Linked DNA regions of Lytechinus pictus. The protein of the gene in region 1 interacts with the protein of each later gene in a pairwise test. Links are inferred from orthologs where the notes say so. Each region holds a gene or a part of one and is shown in the gene's direction. Other genes may lie near its edges.

Region 1 (10,418 bases):
GGGCCCCTTTAAAAAAGGTTGCCATCCAATTTGTAAATTCCATAGAATATAGCACTCTAATTTTATTTGTCTCTGGGCACTGTCACCATTGTAGTTACTATTTGATAGAGCTCTACCGTTTGATATTAAATGTATCATACCGGTAGTTCAAATTTTATGCGATGGGACAATCAAAGTAGCCATTACATTGTCACACCATACAAAGACAAGCATGAACTAAGTTCAATTTTGAGAAAAATGTGCATTTATTATTGGACCTCTTTGAATGTAGAGTGTTGAAAGAAACATACACATGAAATGTACATGTATGTAAAAACCACCTCTGTGAAGTCAAACTTTTTCTTCAACATGCCCAGTCATTTATTAGAACATCAAGCAACCATTAGTTGGCGCTGCACAGCGGCTGCCGGGCCCACGATCAATTGGGCAAAGCAAATTTTCGGAGTATTTCACTTCATGTCTATTTCGAACAATAAATTATGGATTTTCATTTTTCATTTTTTCATTATCCATTAATGACCTGAAGTTTTATTGATCAGAGTCTGATAATCTTCTTAGGAAATTAAGATAAGATTAGAAGTTATATTTCCTATGATGGCAAGCCAGTTTACAGTAATGGCCAAAGTCGATAAGAGTCAAAAGTAAATGAATTATGATGGACCAGTTATATTGCCACTAGTTTTTGAAACCGACTTTGTGCATGTGTGGTCGATAGTGCTGATTATGTTTTGGCGCTTTTTTATAATCTTGTTTTATTTTCACAAAGAAACATTCAAACTTTTGGATTAAAGATACGAAAAAAAAAAATGGGCACCTGAATTGATTGTTAATAACTGGTATTCTAAAAACATAACATTTTTGTCGCTGTCCATCTTCTTAAATTAATAAAGCCAGCTATCAGTATCAGGGGAGCTTTCCATGAAGCGTTTTGTCTGATATTTACAAAGATGGATGTTATCAGCTACTGAATTTCTTTGCATCAGATTGGCTGTGGGAAAATTAGTCATTGGAATTCACTGACAATGCTCTTCATGAAAATGCTCCTCGGATTCCTTCCATTTTGTCAGATACAATTTATGATAGCTTTGTTTATCTCATATTTTATTTAAAGCATTTGTCTGGTTAGTAAGTTATTTTGTACCTATGTCAGTCTCTGAGCTCTATTTTCTGTTTATTCCCCATAATGTAATAAAGAAATACTGTAGTATGTATCAGAATGTTTTCACGTGTTTTGTCAATTTGTTTTCAACCATTACACTAGTCCCGAGGTGGGATTAGCCTCTAGGTGAGGGTTCTTGCTTACTTTCCTATTATTGAACTAAAGAAAATGACTGTCAATGAGTATGGCTGCCATAGAGACTATCATTGCGAGTTTATTTGCAAGAGTGTGGTCTCTAAATATGATATGATTGTCTGTCCTTTGCTTGTGAAGATGACCACAACTTCTTGTATCACAAATTTAGATGGAATATATCATATGACCATTGGCGGCGGAAGCCTGAAAATTTAGGGGGGACCACCAAATTTTTTTGACAAGCAAAAAAAAAAAAAAAGTTATCAACAAGAAATTTAGGGGGGATCGTCCCCCCACCTCAAATTTAGGGGGGGACGTCCCCCCCCCGCTTCTGCTGCCTATGCATGTGATGTATGGAAGACAGGCAGCAGAATGGTTTTGAAGGGGGGGGGAGGAGGGGTGGGGCTGACCATGATAGAAAGTCACGATCAGACGGTAATTTCATGTTTATGGAAGAGATGCTCTCATAATTATGTCACAATATTAAAAAAATTTAATAATTCTGTTTTTAAAATTTTCATCAAACCTTCAATTTTTTTATTGTGCTGCTGCATAAGACAGAATTTCGATATTGGGAAGTCTAAAATGTAATCATTTTTTCTGTATGAAATTATTCCATTTCTTTTAATATGGGGGGGGGGGGGGGTGCTCGTGAATTGATCGACAAGATTTCAGAGCCAGGGGCCCGATTCATAAAGGACTTGGAACTGTTGTAACTTTGCCATTATGGCAACCACCATGGAAACCTTGATTATGATTGGCTGCTGAGCCCTAGTTACCATGGTAGTTGCCATTATGGGATTTGGGGTGGCACGCTAGGGTCGGACAGGGTTAGGGAGGGGAAGGGAATTAAAGAAATATAGATAGGGAGAGAAAGAGAGTGAGAAACAGGTAGAAAGTAAGAATTAAGGGAGGGGGGATGCAAGCAGAGGAAAGACAGAGAGGGAGAGAGAAAGAGGGGGGGGGGGTCTAGAGCTAGCGGTAGCAGCTAGCTAGAGGGCCATTCTCCGAAAAGGGGCACCAAAGGACATTTTCGTGTCTCCAACTTTCTCTAGGCTATAAACCATAATTTAATTCATCAGGAAACCAATTTTTTGAATTTTATTTATACTACAGAATATGTTGAGTAGAATTAAAATCAACCGAGGTCACCCCACCTCATGAAAAAATTATATACGACAGCACAAAACATATATGTGCTCATTTTACCCATGTCTCCAGCGACCTGTGTGATTATATTTCATACTCCCGCTCTTTACCGTAATATCCGAACTTCATGTTTTGTCCACTAATTTATAATGCCTTCGGTGCCTAAATAAAAAAGCATATTGCTTAGCGAAAAAACTTTTGTATATTTTTTCCTGCGGTCTTAGCGAAGGTGTCTCCAAATCGGGATAAGATACGTTACTTTTTGTATGATACCCTAAAAAGAACGAAGACAATAATGCAGTGATCTGTATTTCGGTGTAGTGAATAAGTCCATTTCAAGGCTATATAAATACAAATAGTGTATACTGAATCTCTATAATAATGAATATATTCAGACACAAAGTTTTCAATTGTGTATGTTACCATAAGGTAAAATAAGATACGTTACTGAAACTTTGCTCTATTACAGAAAAATAACTTGGTTAACAAAGTTATAATGTATTTTGTTTTAGAGCACTCTACATTGCTTATGGTAATACATGGGAGTTATGAAAGAAAAGGTTGTTATTTTGTGAAAACACAAGGTTGATCCTAAAGGCCGTCAAATACGTTACCGTCAAATACGTTACCGCATTGCGCGTTGATAGGCCCATTCGCGCATTCTCTAATTTTGCACATGCTTTTAGCGCTTCTTCACCCTTCAAAGCATTGAGCGTTACGTGCTGAGAGTCTGAGGGAGATGTAAGGCTTCTCGCCGTTTGTTATTCATCCCAGCTACGTGGTTGGTAAGAATTTTCATTTTTTGAATATTGACAGAATATAGTTCATTTATCTGTTTGAGTACTATGATACATTTGAGAGTTATTTGAAGTTGATGGAACAGTTACATATAGGCTTAAGACATCTAACACGTATGCATGCGATTGTTTAGTGTGTGTGATAGCTCGCATGAACATTAGAATGTTACCAGATAGGCACGGTAACGTATCTTACCCGACTGGTAACGTATCTTATTAGATATTAATGTCATGTTTTTACGTACACGACGACTAACTATTTTATATTTATTTGTTATTAATTATAAAATAATGTACATATAAAAATCCCATGCTGATATTTTTCCTCTCTGTCTGTCTCTCGTTTATTTCAGAGAAAAAAAAGACATGGGTAAAACGCGTGCTGAGATCCGGAAAGTCAGAGAGAAAATCTGAGTTAACCATCGAACAGTTGACACTAATCGAAGATTTGGCCAAAAAATATAAAGAAGCACAAATTAAGTAAAAGGATCAATATTAGAATTTGCAGGTGACAAATATTTGGACAGCATTACTTGTATTTATGCACTTTCCATATCCTCCCATTTTTCGAACAATTTACAAAGAAAAGGAATCCTTTCCCTGTGATGCAAGAATGATGAAAATGGCATATTTTAATAAAAAAGGAAAATAATGACGTTATTAATTTTTTTTCGGAAAACATTTCTTTTTTTATGAGCAAGTTAATGATGTAATTCCCTTACAATTTTCTTCACATTTAATTTACAGAAATCCTTTAAAAAATCCATTTATCAAATATGATACAGTAAAGTTTTCCTATTCAACTAACCCCAAATTAAAACAAAATGAATGAGAGATGCTATTTGTTCTTAAATATTTGTTCTGACATATCTTAAAGGGGTATGGTTGCCTCAATGCTGGCAAAAACAATCCAAAATGTCATTTAAACGTGACAAATTATGAGGGGATGACATTAACAACTTGCTCATTAGAATATGTTTTCTGAAAATGTGAAATTTTGAAATATAATATTTTCCTTACTTGCTGTCGGTTGTTATCCGGTTTGTATTATCCTTCTTAAATCATGCTAATCATTTTTTTACCCGGCTTTTTGCTTTAATACGTGCCACATCATGTACAAGCGGCAACATAATGTTAATTGTCAACTGATATGTGGAAGGAGAATATTTCGATTCCGTAGTCTAGTTGTTTTGTCTTGGCTCTCTGAATGTACAAAAATATGAAAAAGTAGAATCCGTCAATATAGTGTAAGCTTTAATGTACCGAAATATTTGAGTGGATGATGAATCAGATGTGCTACAAAGACATTTTAATTACTTGAGAGTTGTGTCTGCTACGTTACCACCACTATCTACCGTATAGCTCCTTGGCTCTCTTTAAATTTTAAAAACAAATTTTATGACAGAACATGTGGAAACACATTAATTTATACAAATCTTTTTATAACTATTCAGCGTGATTAATTGTTAAGAATGAGATCTTTTATACAATTTAAGAAGGTTCTTTTTTTAGGAGCAGAGCCGAAACACCAAGTATAGCCCAAGTGAAATAACATTGTACTTATAAGTTTAAATTATCAACAGTCAAATACGTTACCCTACGTTGCAGTTATATATTCGTCTAAACACTCGGATGTAATCAAATTTATCATGTTTTTCCAAACTGCATGATGTTACATATTTCATTAAAAGTTAACAAAGCTACATAATAGACTGTACACATTAGAAATCAAAAGCTTTGGTCATATATTTGAAACAGTATTATAATTATGTCTTAGGTTAATTTTGTCTGTGTTTGTTTATCGATGCATAATTTTATTTACTGAACTATGTCAAGGTGATCATCATAAATAATCATTATGTTCGAGGTGGATATAACATTTTGATGTAAGACAAAATGCAAGAGTGAGTTTACGCATGTTACTATTATAAGTCACAGTAACAACATTTTGTAGTATAGATGTCTGTAAGATACGTTACCATATTGACATATTACAGTTATATATTTGCCTTGCACTCGCAGGTAATAAATTTGATGATATTGTTCCATCTTAATAGTGTTAGATATCTTATCAATGAGTTTATAGAAGGAAATGGACTAAGTACGTTGTGCACTTTAAATCAAAAGTTTAGCTCATACATTTCAAACAGAACATAATTATGTAATTGCGTCACAGTAACAATATTTTGTAGTATAGATGTCTGTAAGATACGTTACCATATTGACATATTACAGTTATATATTTGCATGCACGTATATATGCTATAGATGAATACATGACTTTGCATTACTGAGTAGTGTTTTTTAATCGGGATTATAAATCTGAATGTTCGTAGTTGATAATTCGTTTGGATGTAAAATATATTGCACGATTGAGTTTATCGTTATCTTGAGATATAAACCACAGTAAACGAAATTTTGTGGAAGTATGTCAGATACGTTACCAATTTTCTCTTTTCTTGTAATTCAGAATGTATAAAATCTGTAGTAAAGTGTGCTTACAATGAAATTTCTTTAATAATTTCAGTATTTATGTATGATTTTTATTAATGTTTCAAAGCAATATAAGATCAAATTGTATTAGAGATATGAATTGCAATTTAGGTAATGTATTTTATCTGAAAATATACTATTTTTTTCGGGCTGATTTTGACTTACAGACTTATAACATTTATCATTTTGATACATCTCGACCAATCAAATGTCAAGAATTACTTTTTAATCATGTGTGTATATTAGTTACGTTTACTTTGAAATATTTACTGATACTATTGGTCCACAAATGATACATCCACAGCGATTTTTCTTGTCTAAGGCCTAATGGTAACGTATCTGACGGGTGGTAAAAACTATGTAAAAAGGTGTTCAAGTTCAATGCTATTTCTTGAAAAATATGTTGGGGTCAAAAATCACCCGTTTGTTGTTATGTGTTCTCGAAGTATTAAAGTTTCTGAATTCAAATGAGTTTAATTAATTTTCGTATGTCAAAATTTGAAAGTTTGTCCAATCCTATTGGTGCACTTTTGTGGAGAATGTACCTAGAGGGGGGGGGGGGGGGGAGATCGAGAGCTAGATATATAAGATCGAGGCCATGACCCGTCGCGTCATGACGTAATACAAATTCTAACTAGCAGATTTTAATAGCAGATTTAGCAATGGCCGCTCCGCCGAAACCATGGGAGAAAAGAGGCTCAATAAATCCTTCTTTAGGATATCCAGCCGACCAAGCAATGCTGTAAGTGGTTCTTTATTTTATTTCACTTTTATAGTATTAATAACAAAGTCTATTTCATGGTCGTTATTGGTCAGAGATGGATTTATGTGGCACCGAAGTGAATTCTCGCTGCAAAGCTCTGTGTAGTCCGATGCGTAGTGATTCATGTATCGAGTGATCAAGGAGTCCTTGACTTGAGTCTGACTCCGCCCATATTAGCCAGGCGGCTTCTTGAGAGTAAAAATAATTTATTAACGTACTACGTAGGCTTACTCTAAACGAAGCCAGGGAGTCCTACCTATTCATCTGCGTGTACCGCAAAAAACCCTGAAACTTTCGCCCCCGAGATTTCTACTTTCCTTCTATTTTGTTCTAAAAGTAAACTAAAACTAAAACTAAAAAAAGATCTAGCTCTGCCTTAACCCAGAGAGCTCCCGCCCACGCAGCGGGCGGGAGCCCAGAAGCTCACCGTGTATTTTACCATTTTCACCGGACTAGGGTGATTTATGGTCTAAATATTTCTCCAAATGAATTGTGAAAACGGAAAGTATACAATTACCACGATTATATGGATGAAGGTCTAACGAGTGGCAGATTCCTGACATCTGGGCACAGTCTGGAACCTCAAAAAAACGAAAAGTTCTCTCCTTCTACCCAGTCTCGATCGGCCATTTTGTTACGATTTTTAACGAAAATGGCCGATCGAGACGGGGTAGAAGGAGAGAACTTTTCGTTTTTTTGGGGTTCCAGACTGTGCCCAGATGTCAGGAATCTGCCACTCGTTAGACCTTCATCCATATAATCGTGGTAATTGTATACTTTCTGTTTTCACAATTCATTTGGAGAAATATTTAGACCATAAATCACCCTAGTCCGGTGACAATGGTAAAATACACGGTAAGCTTCTGGGCTCCCGCCCGCTGTGCGGGCGGGAGCTCTCTGGGTTAGCTCTGCCTCTGAGTCTGATGTACATGGGATAAAACTTCATTTCCGACATTTATACGCTCTCGTTATTTTTAAACAAGAATTCATCAAAAAAATGAGAAAATATTGTGAAAAGACAGAAGAGACTTGCCCGATGTTTACGCCGCCATCTTGTTTCTTATTGTAATTCCCCAACGTTACGGACGCGAGCGTCGCGTCCGTGGATTAAAGTGATCATTTCACTTTGTTCTGATTTAAAAAATTCTCATTTTGGTTCTTGAAAATGGGCTTAACATTAGGCTTATAGTGTAAAAATACCATCCCAAAAGTTTCAAAGTCATGAAAGTATTATATCCACAGGATCAATTTTAAAACCTTAAAGATGTAAACCAAAGTTTGAAAATAATTGGGAGTTGGTTTCAATAACTATGACATGTGTATACAGTGAACCTGTGCACCACAACACACGAACTCTAGATGAACACAGCATGGCCTACATACAGTGTGTACTAGGTATACACTGAATGTTCAGTGCAGCTAATAGCGTGTGTGTGTAAATAGGAGATACACACAACAGAAGGCAGTCAAAATAGCCAACGGACTTTTTGAATTGGAGTAAACTGGTCATAAGCTTAACCTGTCTACTAGACGGTTCTCAAAATCAAGCTAATAAATTGCTACTTGTATCTAAATTAGAGTTTTTCATTCTATATTGTGGTTTGTTTCAGGGTTTTTGGGGACAAATACATGCACTCATACACATGTTTTGTCTCAGTTTGAGAATTTTGTAAATCAGCTGCTCACAAAGTTAAACAATCCCTTTAACCGCACCCCCAACTTTGGACTAAAAAAAAAAAAAAAAAAAAACTAAGTTAAAGATTTCAAAGTATCCAAAGAGATTACCGGTATGCGGAAATCTGCTGTTCTTGATCAATTCATCTACAAATGTTTGCAAGAAAGAAAGGTCCCGACAATATTGGCCACTTACACACTCACTCACCTCACAGTCACAGTGTACACACACACAGCACTGCTGTTCTTGTACATTGCAAACTACGATACGGTACCAGTACATCTTATCAAATAATGATCTGTGTCTTTCCCGCCGTAGGAGGAAGAAATATTCACATTTCTTGCATCACAAACTCACAATCACTTTCAGAATTTGTCTAGCATTCGATGTCTTAGCATGAATTTTGGATACGGGATTACTGGAAGGAAGGTTCAAGAACAAAGAAATTGGCATTTTTTACAGTTGTTTTGACGGCTTCGTGCCGTCTCTCTCGTTGCGTGGTGTACATGCTATCTTATGAAAAGCAAACGGGAAAGAAAAAATAAGCTGGCGCGAAACAGGACTTTAGAGGGGATCGAGGGTTAAAATGAATAGCGCCAGCTTAAGTCGCACTATTACCACAATACAACGCAAGCTAGCTCAGCTAACTCAACTCTCGCGCTCGCTCAGCTGTGACAAAATATTACCGAGTATGCTTGGCTTCTCTTTGAACTTAGCCAGGGAACTTCGCTGCTTTGAACCGAGAATAAAAGTCGAAATGAGTGTTATGAAGGTGGGTGCGTTTAATAATCGCTTCTTATTACCCGTGGCTCATACCCCTCTATCCCGCCGAGAAAAACGTACGGTTAATAGACCGTTACTTACGGTATGTATTGGTGAGTGAGCCAACGCAGTTCAGCGGAACAACCATAATACAGAGACTGAAGCTTTTGGTCTAATTACGAGCATGCATGATTCATTGACCCGTACGTATTCTGAACTCTGGTTTAAATTAAACCCTAGTTTAAAGTTGTATTCTGAACCCGGGTTTAAATTAAACCCTGGTTTAAAGTTGTGGTGTAACTATGGAGAGCTAGTACTAGTTGCAGCACAAATCCCTAACAATTACAATACACATCCAATTTATTAACTCACTCATAATGACATCCATATTGTTCATAATTGTCTGGAAATGATAACTGAACTCTGAAGAGGAGTGAAGTATTTCAAAGTATTATTATGAAAGCAAAGCCAAAAGGAAACAAAATAGTAAATCATGTAATTGTAAGTCGTAAGCAATAGATCTATACATGAACATATTTTTGGCTCCCCGTAATTTCAGCACAGAGTTAGACCGCGGTCTAAGCATTAGGAGAAGATTGCCTATGATTTTGAGTGATTTTCGATTCTCGTGTGTGTTCTCATGGAATTTTTTGCTGTCTACGATACCCTGGCCCTGCCACTCATTTAATGAACAAGGTTATGATATAACATTGTTCTCAGTTACATCCACTCATTCAATGAACAAGGTTATGATATAATGGTTACATCTCCATGTGTGGCAAAATAAGGGTGGCAATTTTGGCTTATTTTCTCTTTTTCTATGGGACAAATGCTTGATTTTCTTACACTGTCAGTTTCCAATACAGCTATTCATCATAACTTGGCTCTTATATAAATTTGAATCTTTAAATTATTTTTTCTTAATTAAAAATAGAGATTGAAAAATGAATTTTTTTTTGCCATATTACTTGCCACTGTGGGGTTGAAAATAATACAAGTCTTAAGGGGGAAATAAATGTTTAACTGAAGAAGGGAATAACACAAGCTCTATCATACATCAAACAGAAGCAAACGGAGAGGAGAAGATGGAACTTAATTATGAAGACACAGGAACAAATTGAACTTAACTCGATGAAGTCTGGTAGTGCACTGCTTTATTTGCTGGGCTTCCTTGCCTCAGTAAAACTCATAATTGCATTACAAAATTAGCATATATATTTAAATTAAGCCTGAGTCATATCGATTATTTTGAAAACCGGTATTCGACAGCTTTAATTCGATCGAACATCGATGAATCGAATTTTGAAGGCGCGGCGGGGAAAATCGAGTCCATATTTTTTTTGCTCCGGCCGTCGCGTCAATGCGCTATGCACGCATTGCATGCACTGACGGTATGCGCTGGCTGGGTGAGCGTTGCACAAGCAGATGACAGAGCAAAGTTCGTTTGTATTTTCCATGATCACAAAACACAAAAAAGCCGAGGAC
Region 2 (9,712 bases), on another chromosome or scaffold:
TCAATTTTTTTCATTAACAAATTTAAGTGTTCTAGCTGTAAAATGTCCCTTTTATAGTCTACATATCAGCATTTTTAAGCTCACGCTGCGTGGTCAAATTGTTTGATTTGCCAAGTTCCTATTGTCTACGTGTATTTCATAATGTTCCATTAAACAAATGTATTCAGACTGCCCAGATTCTAGGTCTAAATCTAAAACATGCGCGATAGCCTGCATATTCTTTATATTAAATGTACTTATATTATCCAGTTTCACATCAGAATATCAATAATTGTCTGCTCACGCTTCACGATCGCATTATTAATGATACCCAATTAACTATATCCTATTTATGATTTACAAAATATGAATAGAGTGTCCCGCTTTTAGGTCTAAAATCTCAATTTTCTTCCTCTCGCGCTTCGCGCTCGCATCAATTGTTTACTTACAAACCTACTGTATCCCATTTATTAATACAAAAAGTGCTTAGAATGACAATTTTTTAGGTCGGAATGTCAAAAAAAATTTGCTCGCGCTTCGCGCTCGCATTATTGAAATATATACCGTCTTCGTGGGTAACTGTAAGCAGTCCTTAACAGGTCCCTTTTCGATAATGCTAGAACATTTAATAAAAATTTCTGCTCGCGCTTGGCCTTCGCAGTAACCATCTAGTTACATACGAATCTTGTTCAGGACTCACACATAACGTTGCACAGAATATTACATTTTCAGGACAAAATACATGAAAGTAAAAAAAATCGCTCGCGCTTCGCGCTCGCACTTTTTATAAGGCTTATGAGATTATTTCATGTTTATGTTGTTCTATAAGAATAAAACTAAGAAGTGACTGATCGGGGGAAATATAGCTGAAGATAATTTCGGGCCCCGTCCCCTATTGGCGAAAGTCGGATCCGCCCTTGTGACTCATACATACACAACGGAAAAAATGGTGCCCCCCCCCCTGAAAAAGCAAGGACCCCCCAGTGCCCCCCAGGAAAAAAATCCTAGCTACGCCACTGGATGTACACCCCCGGCCCTCCGAATTCTCAGAGATCAATAAAGCAGGTTCATTAATTCCATTATACTTTGAAATTAACATGTCACGGATAAACTGATAAAAGCTCGAAGCGCAAGGACAAACATTATTTTGATGTATAGGCCTATGTATTGACCTGAAAGTTGAAAATGCATGGCATTTGATTTTTTATTAGCACCGTTTAATTCTGAACGGGATTAGGCCCTATTTCATTAAACAGCCAATATCGAGCGCCATAAGACAGTGATGAACGGTATAGGTCCTGAGCAAATTATTTTCATGAAATTACATAAATATATATGTCTTATATTTCCTTATTTAGTTTCCCATCATGTTTCTTTGTATTTCTCCCTCCCCGTTTTTTAGTAAATGGGGGGAGGGTAGGAGGGCAAGTACCCCCGAGCTCCACTGGGTGAGTATAATCAGGTCAATTATGAGAATCACTGAGTCGTCATCATTGAGCTTAAAACTTTGAATAAGAAATTTATACAGAATGGATATACCACGCATATAGCCTGTAAAAATGAAAGAGCCACGATAAAACAATTAATAAATTAACATTTCAAAATAAACAATCGTAAATCTGTTTCCCCGCCGCCGCCGCCGCCCCCTAAAAAATATCGAGTTCCAAGTGGGAAAGGGGATAGCCACTTGGTCTTATAAGCCTGTTAGCCGGGCTGCATGAATTCAACGTAAATCTGCAAATTATGAAGTTGAAGCTATAGAATAATGCAATAAAATGACTTAACAAAATGATAAACATTCTTCTAAAGCTCTATATACAATTCCTCAAATTCAATTATGTTAAGATTTTGTGGATGCAACTTCTCACCAGTTTAGTCGACAGGATGCATGAATTGGAAAACCTCGCCGAGCTTTTATTTGGCCCAACTTTCCTACGTTCTTCATCGCCATCTGTGGCATAATCTCATCCTCTTGAAGGGACAGTAGGCGACGAGAAATGCCAGGCCTACTCCTCTTCTCGATGAACCTTTCAGCGACATCTTCCCGCAGCTGTGGATTAGAATCATGAAGATATGAGTCGTCGATTTCCATGCGTTTCATAAAATCTCGTCCGAGTAGATCATCGACGTCGATTTCGTCACCCGCATCTTGGTCACCCACGTCATGGTTTTGAAGAGCCATCTCAGGATGTATTCGAAGGCTTGCCTTTTTATCCTTGCCGTTGTAATACGAAGATTTTTCCCACCCTGTACGTTCATCGACAGAGTGAACACGGCTGTCATCAAGTTCCATTTGCCGCAGGAAATCTTCATCAAGTTCGGTTGCGACGTCTTCCTTGGATGGCACCTTGGCGGGATTGTCCTTCCGAGTGGCGCCGTGAGGATGCATGATACGCTGGCCCATTTCCTCTGGAGGTCGTTCTGACTTTGAAGATGGGTGGAACTGTTGATCTGCAGTCTTGCCTTGGTGCATGGCGCTGTCATCAAATGCAAATTGCTGAAATACGTCCTTTCCCATCAGCGAAAATAAATCGGAATCAATGATGGCTGGATCTTCAAAAGTTTCATCTTCGGCTTGAACTCCTTGTACACCAGGCTTAATCGGATGCATGTCAACGACGTCGATTCCCCGTTGTGGTCTTGAAGATTTATTGATGTTTGAGGGATCGTGCATCTCTGAATCATCCAACTCCATACGCCGCATGAATCCTTCGTCAAGAAATTGGGAGATGTCGCCGATATCAGCATCACCGCTCTCAGCATTACCGCCTTTGGGTAAGGAATCCTTTTGTGGTATAGGCGCCCTTGGATGCATCCCATCTAGGTCGTCAGCATTTTGTGGTCGTAAAGATTTCTTGATGTTTGGCTGATCGTGCATCTCTGAATCATCCAGTTCTATACGTCGCATCAAACCTTCGTCAAGATATTGGGAGATCTCACCGATGTCATCGTCCCCATTTTCATCATCACCGCCTTTGGGCGAGGAAATGGAGGGTTCCTTTCGTGATGAAGACGCGGGCCTTCGATGCATCCCATCTAGGTCATATCCATTTTGTGGTCGTAAAGATTTCTTGATGTTTGGCGGATCGTGCATCTCTGAATCGTCCAGTTCCATTCGCCGCATAAAACCTTCGTCAAGGAATTGGGATATCTCACCGATGCCGGCGTCACCATCTTCAACACGAGGTCGTTTGCTATTGGCATCCTTTTGTGTTGTAGATGCTCGTTTGTACATCCTTTTGGGATGCATCAACGCTTCCTCCATTTCCGCTGATTTCTTAAACCTAGAGTTCTTTCCATGTTGTACATTAACAGAGAGTACAGTACAGAAGAGACATAGAAAAACTGTTAGTCTTGTGATCTTCTTGAACTCCATTTTGATATACCTTTCAGTCAGTGTGGTTGAACTGATGAATGTATCATCGACTGTATACACTTACTTACAACCACGTCACTGTGAAATTGCTTATATCAATAAATTAAGATGCATTTCCCGGTGTTTATTTTTTGTTTGGTCCAAAGATGTATAGACTTTAGAACTAAGATAGATAGCGAGATTTAAACAATTTGGCAAGATAATGATAACCCCTATACAACAAAACATGAACTCGTATTGTTTTATTAAGTATGATAATCTGAATTTGATATGTGCAAACAAATCTAATACAATGAATTATCATACATGAATTCAATCTTTGTCAATATAAATGTAATGTACCCACACCCCATGCCGTATACACACTAAAAATGTTGGGCAACATATTGTCCACTGTTTTGGGTAATGTATGTTGGTAAAAAATATAATATATATATATTCTGGGCAATTATTATCCAATTGAGAAAATTTATTACCCAATTTGGACAGATTTTAACCAATAGTTGTATGGAAAGTATGTTGCCCAGTGATGGTTGAAAATTGGGCCTTTTTGTCCAACCTGTTTAAGAGTGTAGGGTAGATAAAATAGTAAAATCTTATCAATAGGCTTTAAAAATGTAATGAATTTGCTGCAGAATGATGTTCATAAAAATACGGGGGTATAAAGCAGGTAATTTAAAGGGGAAATTTACCCTGACGAAAAGTTTGTTGTAAAAATAGCATAAAAATAATAAAAAAATATTGGTAAAGGTTTGAGGAAAATCCATTAAAAATTAAGAAAGTTGAGTTATTAAAATGTGAAGGTTTTTAATTTATGACGTCATAAACGAGCAGCTGCCCCATTATGTTTTGTAATATAAAATGCATAAAAGTCCTGTTTAATTGTTCATGACGACTAATTTTTCTTTTTTTTTAGGAGCGCGTTTGAAATAATTTGTGTATTGATATACTGATGGTGCAATAAAAGCCATTTTCAATTTTCTGAGAAAATGACATTTCATTGACTTTTTACCATGCAATATGCAGGGAAGCTGCTCGCATAATGACGCCTTCACAAATCAAATGATTAAAATTCTAATAACTTTTGGGGGGCAAGAGCCAAAAATTTCAAATTATGGTATGAACTAGCCTATAATCTAGGCGGAGGCTGCATTTATTGTCTTTGCTGTTATGCTGAACGTAAGCGATACGTCTGGTCTGGCGAAGACTACGCATTGTGGTTGCGTATGAACAGGATTTTTTATGATTCTGCCGGCCCGAGCAATGGTAATTCTTGATATCAAGAAATCGAATTCTTGATATAAAGAAATGAATTCTTGATATCAAGAAATAGGCTTAAATGTTAAAACGGCTTGCCATAAGGGCGAAGCTCAATGTGTGATAAGTACAAAGAGAGAGGGGGCCCGGGGGGGGGGGGGGGCAACGTGGCGCGCACAGATAAAAAGTTGCTTAATATAAGTCCCGAGAAAGCGAAGCGAGCGAGAAAAAAAATCATCTTTTCATGAGAATCTAACTTTGAGATTGATTTTGACATGGTATTCAGAAAAAACATGATCTCTTATAGGTTTGCATGGTGGATAACGTGGAGAAGGTTTACGATCCACCATGTGTAATTTGAAGAAGGGAAGGAAACTCAGGCAGAAAGATTGAAATGGAAAGACGAGATATAGGATGAAAAGAGAAAATTAGAAGTATATTCTTTTCTTGAAAGTGAGTGAAGTCCTGAAAAGGAGTCTGGGGACCGTTTCATGAAAGTTGTCAGCACTGAAAAGTTGTCTTTCTCTGACAGTTACTATAGTAACAGTCAGAGACTAGTGCCTTTCAGCCAATCAAAACCAAGGATTCACTGAAATCATTAGTCAGCACTGACAAATTAGTCAGTGCTGACAACTTTCATGAAACACCCACCTGATGTAAACCAAATGAGATGAGCTGAATATGGCTTGAGTAGTAGCAGGTAGCAGGTAGTAGGTTTACATGAATAAATGCATAGAACTGATTCACCGAAATAATGCAAAAACTTTGAAATATCATAACTTTGTCTTTGTTATTCCTTGATGAAACTTTCAGTGATTGTTCGTCTTATTTTACTTTATCTATTCAAAACATTTCTTGTCAGTCTGGTGGAGTACCCCTTTAATTGTTATTAGGCCTACTCTGGGGCCTACCGACGCCCATCAGCGGGCCTTCCCTGGATTCTTTTTTTTTTTGGGGGGGGTTGCTTTGTAATATTTTGTAATATAGCTATTCCAATAACCTAATTATATTTATTTTATTTAGACCTTTTTTTGTGTGATCAATCTGGCTTCTCATGCATGCATCTGCTGCCCTCATCGATTAAAGTTTGTATAACTTATGCGATAGCTGTGCAGTGAACAAAAAGAAGGACCAATACGCCTCCTGTTTTCCAACAAAATGTCGACAAAGACAGACGCAGAGGTAATTTAAGAAAGTAGTGGTATTTGTATTATTATGATATACTGTATTAAGATTTTCAGTAAATGATGCTATACTCTAGGTGTATTCTATAACCGAGGGTATTTGAGCGCTTGCTCGCGCGGCCCAAGTCGAACTCGGACCTCGTTTACGCCAACGGTAATGCATAGCCTTTGCACCGGGGAACTCTGGCCGGGGACGAAATGCAGATCCGTTTCTGCTGCTGCTTTTATATTTGCGGCCGGACCGTATTGAGGAGAGATTCAGACTCTAGACTCAGAGTCAGAGGAGGGGCGAGTGCTCGATCAAGGACAGGAGCTTAGCCTTAGGCAATTCAGCTCTTCGACTTGAGATAAAACTTTAGTGCTCCAGACTCTGCCTTTTGTGAATGTTTGTACATCGGATCGGCAGTTATTGAGTTAAGCTTCTAAAGTCGAAATCGAATCAGCGATGTTTAAAAACAAAGGAATACATTAAATTCAAAATTTTGTTCGCGGTCGCACGCATCTTCCTGACAAAGTCACAAAGACGAATGCATTGGAATGGAAGTCACCAACATGCGCGATTGTTTGGAACATGGGCATAATCGTGATATAGTCCCCAAATCCAAAAATAGGGATTATTAGATTCGCACAGCTCAAGAACTTGCGAAATGATAACACACGCAAATGAAACACACTTACACTTGGGTTCTCTCCCTATTATATACTCGTGATACAGTCCCCACTCTCAGACTCTGCGGGAAATCAAGTTTGATTTTCACGGCGGTGGGGACAGTTTCAACAGTATAGTATACTCGTGATGCAGTCCCCGCGCTATGGGATACACAGTTCATTTGGCACGCAGTGGGGATAGCTCCAACAGTATATTATACTCGTGATACCGTCCCCTCACAACATAAAATCGTGCTCGTTCGACAAGGGGATGGGGACAGTTTCCCAGTGCAACGTGACAAGGAAGACTCATTCAAAATCTTCGGGAATTATTATTATTATTGTCATCATCATATTATATTATCATTATTATCATTTTATCATTATTATTTTATCATTATTATTTTATCATAATTATTTTTATTGTTATTTAATCATAGTTATCATTATTGTTATCATTATTATTGTTATTTAATCGCAATTATTGTTATTATTTATTTTATTATTACTATCATCATCATACATCATTATTATTCTTTATCATTGTTATTATTATTGTTATACTTTATTATATTATTGTTTTTTTTATTATTATTTTTATTATCAATATTTTGTTATCATTATTAATATAATTATTTTTATAGATATCATCATATATCATTATTATTCTTTATTATTGTTGTTGTTATTATGGTTATTATTCTTTATTATATTATTATTATAATCATCATCATTAATCATTATTCTTTATTATTGTTGTTATTAATATTGTTATTATACCTTATTGTATTATTATTGCTGTTGTTATTATTATTGTTATTTTTATTATATTATTATTAATATCATCATAATAAATATTATTCTTTATTGTTGTTGTTATTATTATCATCATAATAGTGATAATAGTATAATAAATTATTATATTATTATTATCATTATTATTCTTTATCATTGGTATTGTGCCCCTTCCATCCAGTCCGTTCCTTGTATTTCATTTAATTCCTTCAAATGAAATCACTGTAGACTCATTCATAACTTTTGGGTATTATCGTAATTATTATCATTATTGTCATTATTTTTTATGGTATTTATTTTTTTTTACTTAATATTGTTATCCTTATTTTTTGTTCAATTCAATTCAATGTTTTATTCAATTCCAATAAAAATCAATACAGAGTATAGAATACAGTAATAACAAATACAATGGGCAATAATAAGGCAAGAAAATATAAGGTACATGTAAAACAAGTATTAAACAGATACAAATGACAATAGAGAGATACAATATTGGAATTAGGTGGTCATGGATTGAAGGAACAGAATGGATGGAAGGGGCACATTTTCAATGATAAAGAATAATAATAATAATGATAATATAATAATTTATAATATTATCATCATTATTATAATAATAATAATAACAACAATAATAAAAACATTATTTACATTGTTAACATTATTTATCTTTTATTTATTATTTTTATGATAATTATTGTTATTGTTATTATTCTCTATTATTACCATTATATTAACCTTTATCATAATTATTATCAACATCATTATTGTTATTAATCTTTATTATCATCATCCCCATCATTATACTATTGTTGTTATCATTACTTTACTTTTCATTTCCGTCACATATTTGTATTGATTACTTTAATGTTTTGGGGTGACTCTTTCAATAATAACAACAACAATAATGAAAATGATGCCAATGATGATAATAATTATGATAATAATTAATACCCAAACGTTATTATGAGTCTACAGTGATTTCATTTGTAGGAATTAAATGAAATACAAGGAACAGAATGGATGGAAGGGGCACATTTTCAATGATAAAGAATAATAATGATAATATAATAATTTATAATATTATCATCATTATTATAATAATAATAATAACAACAACAATAATAAAAAATAATAATGATATATGATGATGATAGTAATAATAATAATGATATTAATAATGATAATAATAATAATGATAATAGCAATAATAATAATGATAATTATGATTAAATAACAATAATAATGATAATAACAATAATAATAATGATAATTATGTTTAAATAACAATAATATTGATAATAACAATAATAATGATGATAATTTTGATTAAATAACCATAATAATATAATGATAAAATGATAATAATGATAATATAATATGATAATGACAATAATTCCCGAAGGTTTTGAATGAGTCTTCCTTGTCACGTTGCACTGGGAAACTGTCCCCATCCCCTTGTCGAACGAGCACGATTTTATGTTGTGAGGGGACGGTATCACGAGTATAATGTACTGTTGGAGCTATCCCCACTGCGTGCAAAGTGAACTTGATTTCCCATAGAGTGGGGACTGTATCACGAGTATATAATAGGGAGAGAATCCAAGTGTACGTGTAAGTGTGTTTCATTTGTGTGTGTTATCATTTCGCAAGTTCTCGAGCTGTGCGAGAGTTGGGGACTGTGTTCTGGAGAAAGGAAGTGATTTTCATGCGTTCTGGTAGGTGTGATTCTAATAATCCCCATTTTGGGATTTGGGGACTATATCACGATTATGCCGGAACATGTTTTAAAAGGGTTTTGAGGTGTGTACTGCTTTTTTGCTTGAATTGTTAATTGATGACATAGCCTGTCAGCCTCTATGGAATAACCCTCAAATGAAAATAAATAACAAACCAATCTATTTCAGGGCTTGGGATTTACGAGGAATACATTTTGTTAATGACATTCTTAGAACAGATGGTACCTTCTTTCCATACTTTGAATTTCAACATGCGTATGGTATACAAACCAATTTTCTACAGTATTACGGTCTTTGTGACGCAATTAGTTCTGGTTTTCCCACAGATTCACATATAATTACTAAATCTATTGAACCAATCATTCCTGAAGCTTTGCAACTTGTTGTGAAAACACGCGTAGGTTGCTCAAATATATATCGCTCTTTTTTTCACTTTGAAGTTAAAGAATGTAAGGCTCTTGTCAGCTGGAAAGGTCTGTTAGGTTTTTGAGATGACCTTTGGGTTGCTTTTTGTTTGATCCCTTTTCAGGCAACAATGGATATAAACATAGGTGGTTTACAATTTTAGATAAAATATTGTATATGAAAGATTCTCTGTTGAAATGTGGTATAGTAACAAATACGAAATGTACTTTTTGTATTGATAATGATGAAACAATTATGCATATATTTTGCCTTTGTACTCATTCTAATGTAATATGGTCGAGAATAGAATCATGGATATTTCAAAATAC

The links.
Region 2: the proteins of peroxisomal membrane protein PEX13-like (region 1) and peroxisomal membrane protein PEX14-like interact in a two-hybrid assay, tested with the Homo sapiens proteins (2 studies listed by BioGRID and IntAct, with this or other methods). The link is inferred for Lytechinus pictus from reciprocal best matches to the Homo sapiens genes PEX13 and PEX14.

The regions. Positions count from the first base shown.
Region 1 is NC_087261.1:4,567,523-4,577,940, forward strand, and holds the start of peroxisomal membrane protein PEX13-like, read left to right. Parts: upstream 1-6,300; 5' UTR 6,301-6,395; coding exon 6,396-6,475; intron 6,476-10,418. UniProt on the Homo sapiens protein: Component of the PEX13-PEX14 docking complex, a translocon channel that specifically mediates the import of peroxisomal cargo proteins bound to PEX5 receptor.
Region 2 is NC_087258.1:9,820,055-9,829,766, reverse strand, and holds the start of peroxisomal membrane protein PEX14-like, read left to right. Parts: upstream 1-5,699; 5' UTR 5,700-5,770; coding exon 5,771-5,794; intron 5,795-9,712. UniProt on the Homo sapiens protein: Component of the PEX13-PEX14 docking complex, a translocon channel that specifically mediates the import of peroxisomal cargo proteins bound to PEX5 receptor.